2 linked regions of the Sus scrofa genome follow. Each later gene encodes a partner of the first gene's protein in a complex. Links are inferred from orthologs where the notes say so. Each region holds a gene or a part of one and is shown on either strand. Other genes may lie near its edges.

Evidence for each region.
Region 2: INTS4 (region 1) and INTS12 share a complex: the UniProt entries of both Homo sapiens proteins name them as parts of the integrator complex. The link is inferred for Sus scrofa from reciprocal best matches to the Homo sapiens genes INTS4 and INTS12.

The regions. Positions count from the first base shown.
Region 1 is NC_010451.4:12,320,504-12,324,316, reverse strand, and holds part of INTS4 (integrator complex subunit 4), read left to right. Parts: intron 1-1,255; coding exon 1,256-1,415; intron 1,416-1,639; coding exon 1,640-1,783; intron 1,784-3,813. UniProt on the Homo sapiens protein: Component of the integrator complex, a multiprotein complex that terminates RNA polymerase II (Pol II) transcription in the promoter-proximal region of genes.
Region 2 is NC_010450.4:116,030,222-116,034,758, forward strand, and holds the start of INTS12 (integrator complex subunit 12), read left to right. Parts: upstream 1-1,642; 5' UTR 1,643-1,781; intron 1,782-4,537. Other genes in the region: GSTCD (glutathione S-transferase C-terminal domain-containing protein), read right to left, coding at 1,409-1,610. UniProt on the Homo sapiens protein: Component of the integrator complex, a multiprotein complex that terminates RNA polymerase II (Pol II) transcription in the promoter-proximal region of genes.

The sequences.
Region 1 (3,813 bases):
AGGTTTTGAATCACAGTTATAGCTGCTTGCCTATGCCACAGCCACAGCAACACCAGATTGGAGCTACGTCTCTGACCTACACCGCACTTCATGGAATGCTGGATCTTAACCCACTGAGCGAGGCCAGGGATCCAGCCTGAGTCTTCATGGATACTAGTCAGATTCATTTCCACTGCACCACAACGTGAACTCCAAGACAGCTGTGTTCTTCTCTTTTGCTCACTGTTATGTCCCCAGTGCTTTGTAAGTCCTAAAGATACATTTGTTAAATTAATGAATCTGTAACATGATAATAATAATTCTGCTAATACACAGGATTGCTGGGGGGATTAAATAAGATAGTGAAGAACACTTAAGAAGATGCCTAGCCCATATAGATATTTAATAAACAAGACTATCTTGGGATAGACCATGATGGAAGATGATATAAGAAAGGGAATGTGGAGTTCCCGTCGTGGCGCAGTGGTTAACAGATCCGACTAGGAACCATGAGGTTGCGGGTTCGGTCCCTGCCCTTGCTCAGTGGGTTAACGATCCGGCGTTGCCGTGAGCTGTGGTGTAGGTTGCAAACGCGGCTCGGATCCCGCGTTGCTATGGCTCTGGCGTAGGCTGGCAGCTACAGCTCTGATTAGACCCCTAGCCGGGGAACCTCCCATATGCCACGGGAGTGGCCCAAGAAATGGCAAAAAAAAAAAAAAAAAAAAGAAAGGGAATGTGTGTACATATATATATGTATGACTGGGTCACTTTGTTGTATAGCAGAAATTTGCACAACATTGTAAATCAACTATACTTTAATAAAAATAAATAAATTAGGGAGTTCCCATTGTGGCTCAGCAGTAATGAACCTGACCAGTATCCATGAGGTTGTGGGATCGATCCCTGGCCCTGATCAGTGGGTTAAGGATCCAGCATTCCTGTGAACTGTGGTGTGGGTCGCAGACGCAGCTCAGATCTGGTGTTGCTGCGGCTGTGGCGTAGGCTGGCAGCTGCAGCTTCGATTCTACCCCTAGCCTGGGAACTTGCATATGCCACAGGTGTGGCTCTTAAAAATTAAAAAATAATAAACATTAATAGATAATTAATCAACAAGGTTATGGTCATGTCACTACAGCATAATTATCTAGGTCCATGGCTTCCTCAGGAGCCGTGAACTTCTCTAGTTCATCCTTTTCACCCCTTCAGGGCTTGGCAGATGTTTGGGGCTCAGCCTGTGGTGAATGACTGTCATAGTTGCTTCTCTTTGCTCCTTCAGGTGTTTCATCGCTGATCTGCCCCACTTGCAGGACAGCTTTGTGGACAAACTTCTTGACCTCATGCCCCGACTCATGACGTCCAAACCTGCAGAAGTGGTCAAAATTCTGCATACCATGCTTCGGCAGTGTACCTTCCTGCACCTCCCCCTTCCAGAGCAGGTCGGTGTCTGTGTCCTCCCGCTTCAGCTAAGTCCGTCCGTCCGAAGAGTCAAAACTGCTCACTTTGGTGATCCTCTTTGACCCATGGAGCGGCTGGATTAGGGCCTTTCCTTGGATTGGCTCCCGAATATCCACCCATTAGCTAAGGAGTCAGAAAGGCAGGGTCTTGTTTTGTTGCCGAGGAATGGCGTGGCTTTAGAATCCTATTTTCTTCTTGCTTGCAGATCCACAAAGCCTCAGCCACCATTATCGAGCCAGCGGGTGAGTCAGACAACCCTTTGCGATTCACATCTGGGTTGGTGGTGGCCCTGGATGTCGACGCAACCCTGGAGCACGTGCAAGATCCTCAGAGCACTGTGAAGGTCCAGGTCTGTCAGGTTTTGGTCCCCATGGGGCTTCTTAACTGACTCTGTGTTGACACTTTTAACTTGAGCACCCACGTAATCTCTACCTGAGAGACGGAAAGTGGGGAGAGAGAAGAGATGGGTTTTTAAGGAAAAGAGCCTGGGCGTGAATCGCAGCTCTGCTGCTGAGTATGGATTGGAACAGGTTAAATTCAGAACCTCAGAGTCTGTTCCTGACAAATAGGGATAGTTGACATTGAAATGAGATTATGTATATAAAGTCCCTGGTACCCAATAAGGGCTCACTAAATGACAGGGCATCTTCTATTCTTATAATGTGAGCTAAGACTTGGTATTTTCAGGGCTACAACCAAACTAATACATGAGTCTCTTTCAGACTATGGGTGAGTCAGCTTGGTGAATAAAATTTATGGGTAGGAAAAAGCTGTCACTTTGGAGCATTCCCAAGTTAGATACAAATACTAGAGACACATGAGAGGCGCAATAAATAATCAAATTAATAGTCTTCAATCAGTTTAATAGTTAATTAAGTCCCATAAAGAGTCCTACCCATTTGCCCATCCATCTGTCCATCCATCCTTTCATCCATGTGGGAATGCTTACTCTGTTGCACATACTAAGTTCTACACAAGTATGTCAGAATCCCTGTCCTCAGATGCTTACTTTCAGTGAGAGACGGACAGATGGACTGGAAGTTGTAAAACAGTTCAGTCATCAGTTCAGACCGGCACAGGATGAGTTAAGAATATTATGGCTTCTGGGAGTTTCTGTTGTGGCTCAGTGGTTAACGAACCCGACTAGGATCCAAGAGGATGCAGGGTTGATCCCTGGCCTTGCTGTGAGCTGTGGTGTATATCACAGAAGCGGCTCAGATCTGGTGTTGTTGCGGCTGTGGTGTAGGCTGGCAGCTATAGCTCTGATTGGACCCCTAGCCTGGGAACCTCCATGGCCCTAAAAAGCAAAAAAAAAAAAAAAGAAATTATGGCTTCTTCTTATATACCTGATTACTTGCACAATATAGATCTAATTTTTGGGATCCCACCTGCCACACTGCCTCCCTCCTGAAATGAGACACAGTTGTTGAAATAACCTGACCTGTTTTCAAGACTGAGAGACTGGTTCAGTGAAATAATGGACCAGTCTACTGACTCAGCTTCTGGATTTTGAAGCTTCTTAGCCTCTTCTGGATTGTGAAGTTTCAAAGGCAGGAATGACGGGGAACAGAATACACCACTTCCAAAACAACTGTCCTTGACCTAAGGATTATTTGGGAATGGTTATTTCTGAGAGGGGTTGACATAGTAGAACCCCTGAGAACAGCATAGAAGTTGCCCTTTAGTGAGGGAAATTGATATTTGTAAGGGAAATCTACATTTGTAAGGTTTCTTCCTCTTAGAACCTGGAAGGGAAACGTGATTAAATCTCTAGGAACTCATATCAATGGAGAGGGTACCAACTTAAATTTGCATAACAACCTTACCCTTGTCCACTGCGTTTTACCTTATAACCCCTCATAACAGGTTCCCTCCCTCTTCAACATCTTCCTTTTGTCTTTAGCTGCAGCTGGTATTTAAGGTGATGGCTTGGGCAATTTCAGGGAGTTTTTCAGTTTCCCTGGGCCTCTGCCATTGTATACAGGAGACATATTTGTCATTAAACTTATGTTTGTTTTTCTCCTGTTAATCTGTCTTTCATTACGGTGGAGTCTTAGCCAAGAACCTAGCAGGTTAAAGGGGAGATTATTTTTTTCCTCCCCCACAGAGTTATTTCCAGTTTTTGGCTACTTTAAAAAAATTCTGAGAGTTCCTGTCGCGGCACAGCGGAAACGAATCCAACTAGGAACCATGAGGTTGAGCATTTGATCCCTGGCCTCGCTCAGTGGATTAAGAATCCAGCATTGCTGTGGACTGTGGTGTAGTCCGGCAGCTACAGCTCTGATTAGACCCCTAGCCTGGGAACCTCCATATGCTGCCGGGTGCGGCCCTCAAAAAAAGACAAAAGACAAAAGAAAAAAAAATTTCCGCAACATATAG
Region 2 (4,537 bases), on another chromosome or scaffold:
GGCCTCTTAAAACAATGCCTTCAAACAATTTCAAATAATGAGTATGCTTAAGGCAATCATCTCAGTAGAGTATATTCTCCACCAGGTAGTTAAAAAAAGTCCCAGAGCTTAATGTTGGATTTATTAAATACAACAGCAAATCAATCAATTGAATTTATAGCAAAGAATTTATTTTCATAATATTTAAATGGCCATGGTTAATGTTTATATTGTCACACCACTAGTCTTGCCAGCTTTTGCATTTTTCTCCTTTAAACACTGTTCCTAGATAAGCTTAGAAAAATGTAAACATACTCTACCTTTCTTAAATAATTTAGCACAAGATCTATTATTAAATGTTGGCAAGAACTTATGACAAGGAATGGGCTCCCGGCATTAAGAGATCATGACCTTAAGAGTATCGGCGGAGTTCCCATTGCCGCGCAGTGTAAATGAATCTGACTAGTATCCATAGGATATGGATTCAATCAGTGGGTCGCAGATCCCACCTTGCCCTGAGTGGTGGTGTAGGTCACAGACTTTGCTCGGATCCTGAGTTGTTGTGGATTAGGCTGGTGGCTATAGCTCAGATTCCACCCCTAGCCTAGGAACTTCCATATGCCTAGACTGTGGCCCTAAAAAGCAAAAAAAAAAAAAAAAAAAAAAAAAAAAGGGGGGGAATAAGGGGAAAAGGAGTTCCCGATGTGGCTCAGCAGTAACGAATCCGACTAGTGTGCATGAGGACACTAGTCTGATCCCTGGCCTCAGTGGGTTAAGGATCCCATTGCTAGGGCTGTGGTGTAGGTCGGCAGCTGTAGCTTCCATTGGACCCCTAGTCTGGGAATTACCATATGCCAAGGGTGTGTCCCTAAAAAGCCGAAACAAACAAACAGTCACCTAATCCCAAACCAAGTAGAATTGGTGTGGGAAGTACGTGTATTAGTAAACGTTTCTGAAGTAAAAGCAATTTTCATGCAAGTTAAACCCAAACTTTCTATAGGAGTTTAAACCAAAGTGAAACGCTACTTTGATGGTAGTGCAGAAACAAATCGCCCAAAATGTAGGGGGTTCTTTGGAGCAACTGTTAGGTAGTATTCACATACTACTGCTTTCTCCAATGAGGAAGGGCTGGAATAGAAAACTCAGTAGAAAAAAAGATAAAAGTTAAAAGAGTGACCCAAGAGGTCTTAACTACACTTAGCAGCAAATGGCGAACGACCGAACAGACTGCTGCAACTGGAAGCTGCTCCTTTCCCCTTCAGTAAATGAAGCCATGGGGACTGGCCCTGGAAAAATTGCGAAGGGGCCCGGACCCCTCCACTCTTCCCGCCCTTCTTCGCATCGTCAACCCTGCCGGTCCCTGGATGAAAGAGGAGTCTTTGCAGGGTCTTGAGGACTGAGGAGCCGGCGGCGCGAGCGCCCTCCTTACCTGGTCGCAGAGGCGCGGCCAGGCAGGGAGGGTGCGTGAACGTGTCAACACTGGCCGCCAGCGCATTCCCGCCCCGCCCGAGCCGGGTTTCCCGAGGTCGCTTTAGGAAGTCTTCGCCTGCAGACCGCTCGCAGCTCCACGCGGCAGGGAAAAAAACAACAGAAGCAGCGCCGGGGAAACAGCAGCACCTGCCGTCATTCATAATCCGGCGCACCGGAAGAAGGTGGTTACGTCACTTCCTCCCGTCGCACAGTGAAAACGTTCCCCAGTCGACCCTGCTGCGGGAACTTTTGTTTTTCCGCTCTCCCGGCGGGCTAGTGCTGGGACCTGTTCGTCAGGCCACCGGGAACGGACGGAGCAGCGGGGCGGAGCGGTGAGTTGCGACGAGCCCCTCGGTTCCCAGCCGCCTCTGGGAGGCTTGAGACCTCCGCGAGGGGTGAAGTGGGACGGTAGTACTGTGCGGTCTTAGTTTCCTCGCCTCTTGTGAGGAAACTCATAATTTGCAGGCGGTCGAATGCCCAGTCTGACCATTCTCCCCTTACAGTTGGGGTCGTGCTTCCCCCGAAGGTTTTGCAGGCTGGGGTCAGCGGACCGAGGTTACAGCCCCAGGGATTGGGACCTTGGAACCCTGTCTCGGACCTTCCTCGGAAGGTTTTGGCGACTTCTCTGTGCAGCTCCCTCTGCCTCCTCTCATCTTCATTGGGCTCACTTGTCAAGACCCTTCCCGATGTTAGGCCTTCGGTGGGTCTTGCCTTTGATCAGAAGATTGATATTCCTTTTCTGAGTGTCGTTTTTCAGATTTTCTGTCGGTTGGTTGGTTTGGAATTAGGTTCTTTCCGCCTGTTGTCGTTTCCGGATGTGTGCCTAAGGTCATCAGTGTAATCCAGGGCCAAGATCCAGGAGGAATAAAAAGGGCAGTATCTTTAAAAGGGTATTTATTAGGATGAGTTGCATGAGTTTGCAAAGGGCAAAGCTTTCTAGAGCCGTTATTGAGGTGGCAACCCCAATATTGCACTCTGCCTGAATAGGTTCAGCTTCCTTCATCTCGTGCACGTGAAACTCCAACTTTGGACTTCTTTTAATGTTAGCTTGTAAGATAGATAATGGGATCTAGAGGAAAGCATATATTTATATATGAATACCCAATTTAGGTTGGAGAAATCACAGAAGCCCTAGAAAGTGACATTTAAAAAAACCCTAGTGCATTCACTCAACAAATATTTTTGAGAATATGTTAAATTCCAAGCACTAGGTATGTAACAGTTCTGAATAAAAGAATTCCCTTCTTGCATGGAGTTTACAGTCTAGTGGGGTTAATGAATTTAAATCACATGGAGGATTGGGTAGAGAGTAATGCAGATAGGAACATTGTACAAATCCCATGTCATGAAAAAGGTGTTTTCTGCTTTGTATTGTTTTTGCTTTTTTGATATTTGAGGGCTTGAGGTGGGATTGGGGGTGGGAGGAGTCTGGAGGGTGGTAATAGCTTTGAGTTTCTTTTTTGTTGCTTATTGCAGAGGGACTTTGGAAATGATTAGAATTGTGTAGAAGGAAAAAAACTATTATCCTTTGATCTCTAATAATTCTTTGGCCATTATTTTTTGGTACTTTACAAAATACAAACGTGATGGTAAAAAGATAGCCTTTCCCCTTAAAGTAGTCAGAGATTTATAGAGAATATAACAAATGTGCAAAAAAAAGAAAACAGAAAAAAAAAGACTGTGGTTCAAGGTAGAAAGTTCCAGTACCTTGAGAATGCACTCCAAGATTTCCCAGGGGAGGGCAAGATTATTATTATTATTATTTATTTATTTATTTATTTATTTATTTTTGTCTTTTGTCCTTTTAGGTCCGCACCAGCAGCTTATGGAGGTTCCCAGACTAGGGGTCCAGTCGGAGCTGTAGCTGCAGGCCTCCACCACAGCCACAGCAACGCCAGATCCAAGCTGCGTCTGCGACCTATACCACAGCTCACAGCAACGCATGATCCTTAACCCACTGAGCGAGGTCAGGGATTGAACCCGCAACCTCATGGTTCCAGTTCAAATTCGTTTCCACTGCGCCACGACGGGAATTCAGCAAGATTATTAGTATTATTGGGTGAGTAGGGTCCTCATCAGTACCCTCATGGGTCTTGATAGGATATGGAAATATGAAAATGGGTAAAAAAGCTCTCCAGACAGAAAAAAAATTGAGAAGTAGCAAGTCCAGCTAATGATTCTGGTCTATGGGAGATCTGGAGATGAAGAATTAGTTTTTGTGCCAGTTATTGAGTCTTTTTTTTGGGGGGGTGCACACCTGAGGCATATGGAGGATCCCAGGCTTGGGGTCGAATCGAAGTTACAGCTGCCACATTATGCCACAGCCATAGCCACACAGGATCCAAACTGAGTCTGCAACCTACACCACAGCTCACAGCAACACCGGATCCTTAACCTGCTGAGCGAGGCCAGGGATCAATCCTACAACCTCATGGTTACTAGTCAGATTAGTTTCCACTGAGCCAGAATGGGATCTCCTACTGAATCTTTTTAAATGCTAGGCCAAGAAGTTAGGCTTTATTTTAAAGGGAATGGGAAGTCTTAATTTTTGAGGAAGAAAGGAAGCAGGGAGGGAGGAAGAAGAAGGAAGGGAGGGAGGAAGGGAGATAGGGAGATGTGTTAACAGGAACATTAATATGGCAACAGTATTGAAGTCCAAGACAATCACTAGATTATTGCTACAGTGCAAAAAGCTGATAAAGACCTGAATCTGAGTAGTAGCAGTGGAAATGGAAAATAGCAACAAATGTGAGAAATGTTGAAATATAGGAATTGGGGAGGACTCAGGCAAAAATGTAGGCCTCAGGCCTGATTAACGGAGAGTATGTCATTTATTGAAAGAAAGTGCGGAACAAGGAACTTTGGGGTAGGAGATATTCATAATCTCAATTTCAGTCTTTATTGAATTTGAGAAACCATTGGGACAATTAGGTAGACATGTCTACTAAGCAATTAGAAATATGGGGTTTGAGCTTAAGAGAGATCTGAGTGGGAATAAACATATGAAATCATCTGCTCTACTGATGATAGTTGAAAACATAAATTAGCAAGGAAGAAACTGAAGAACTAAAGAAAACAAATAAGGACA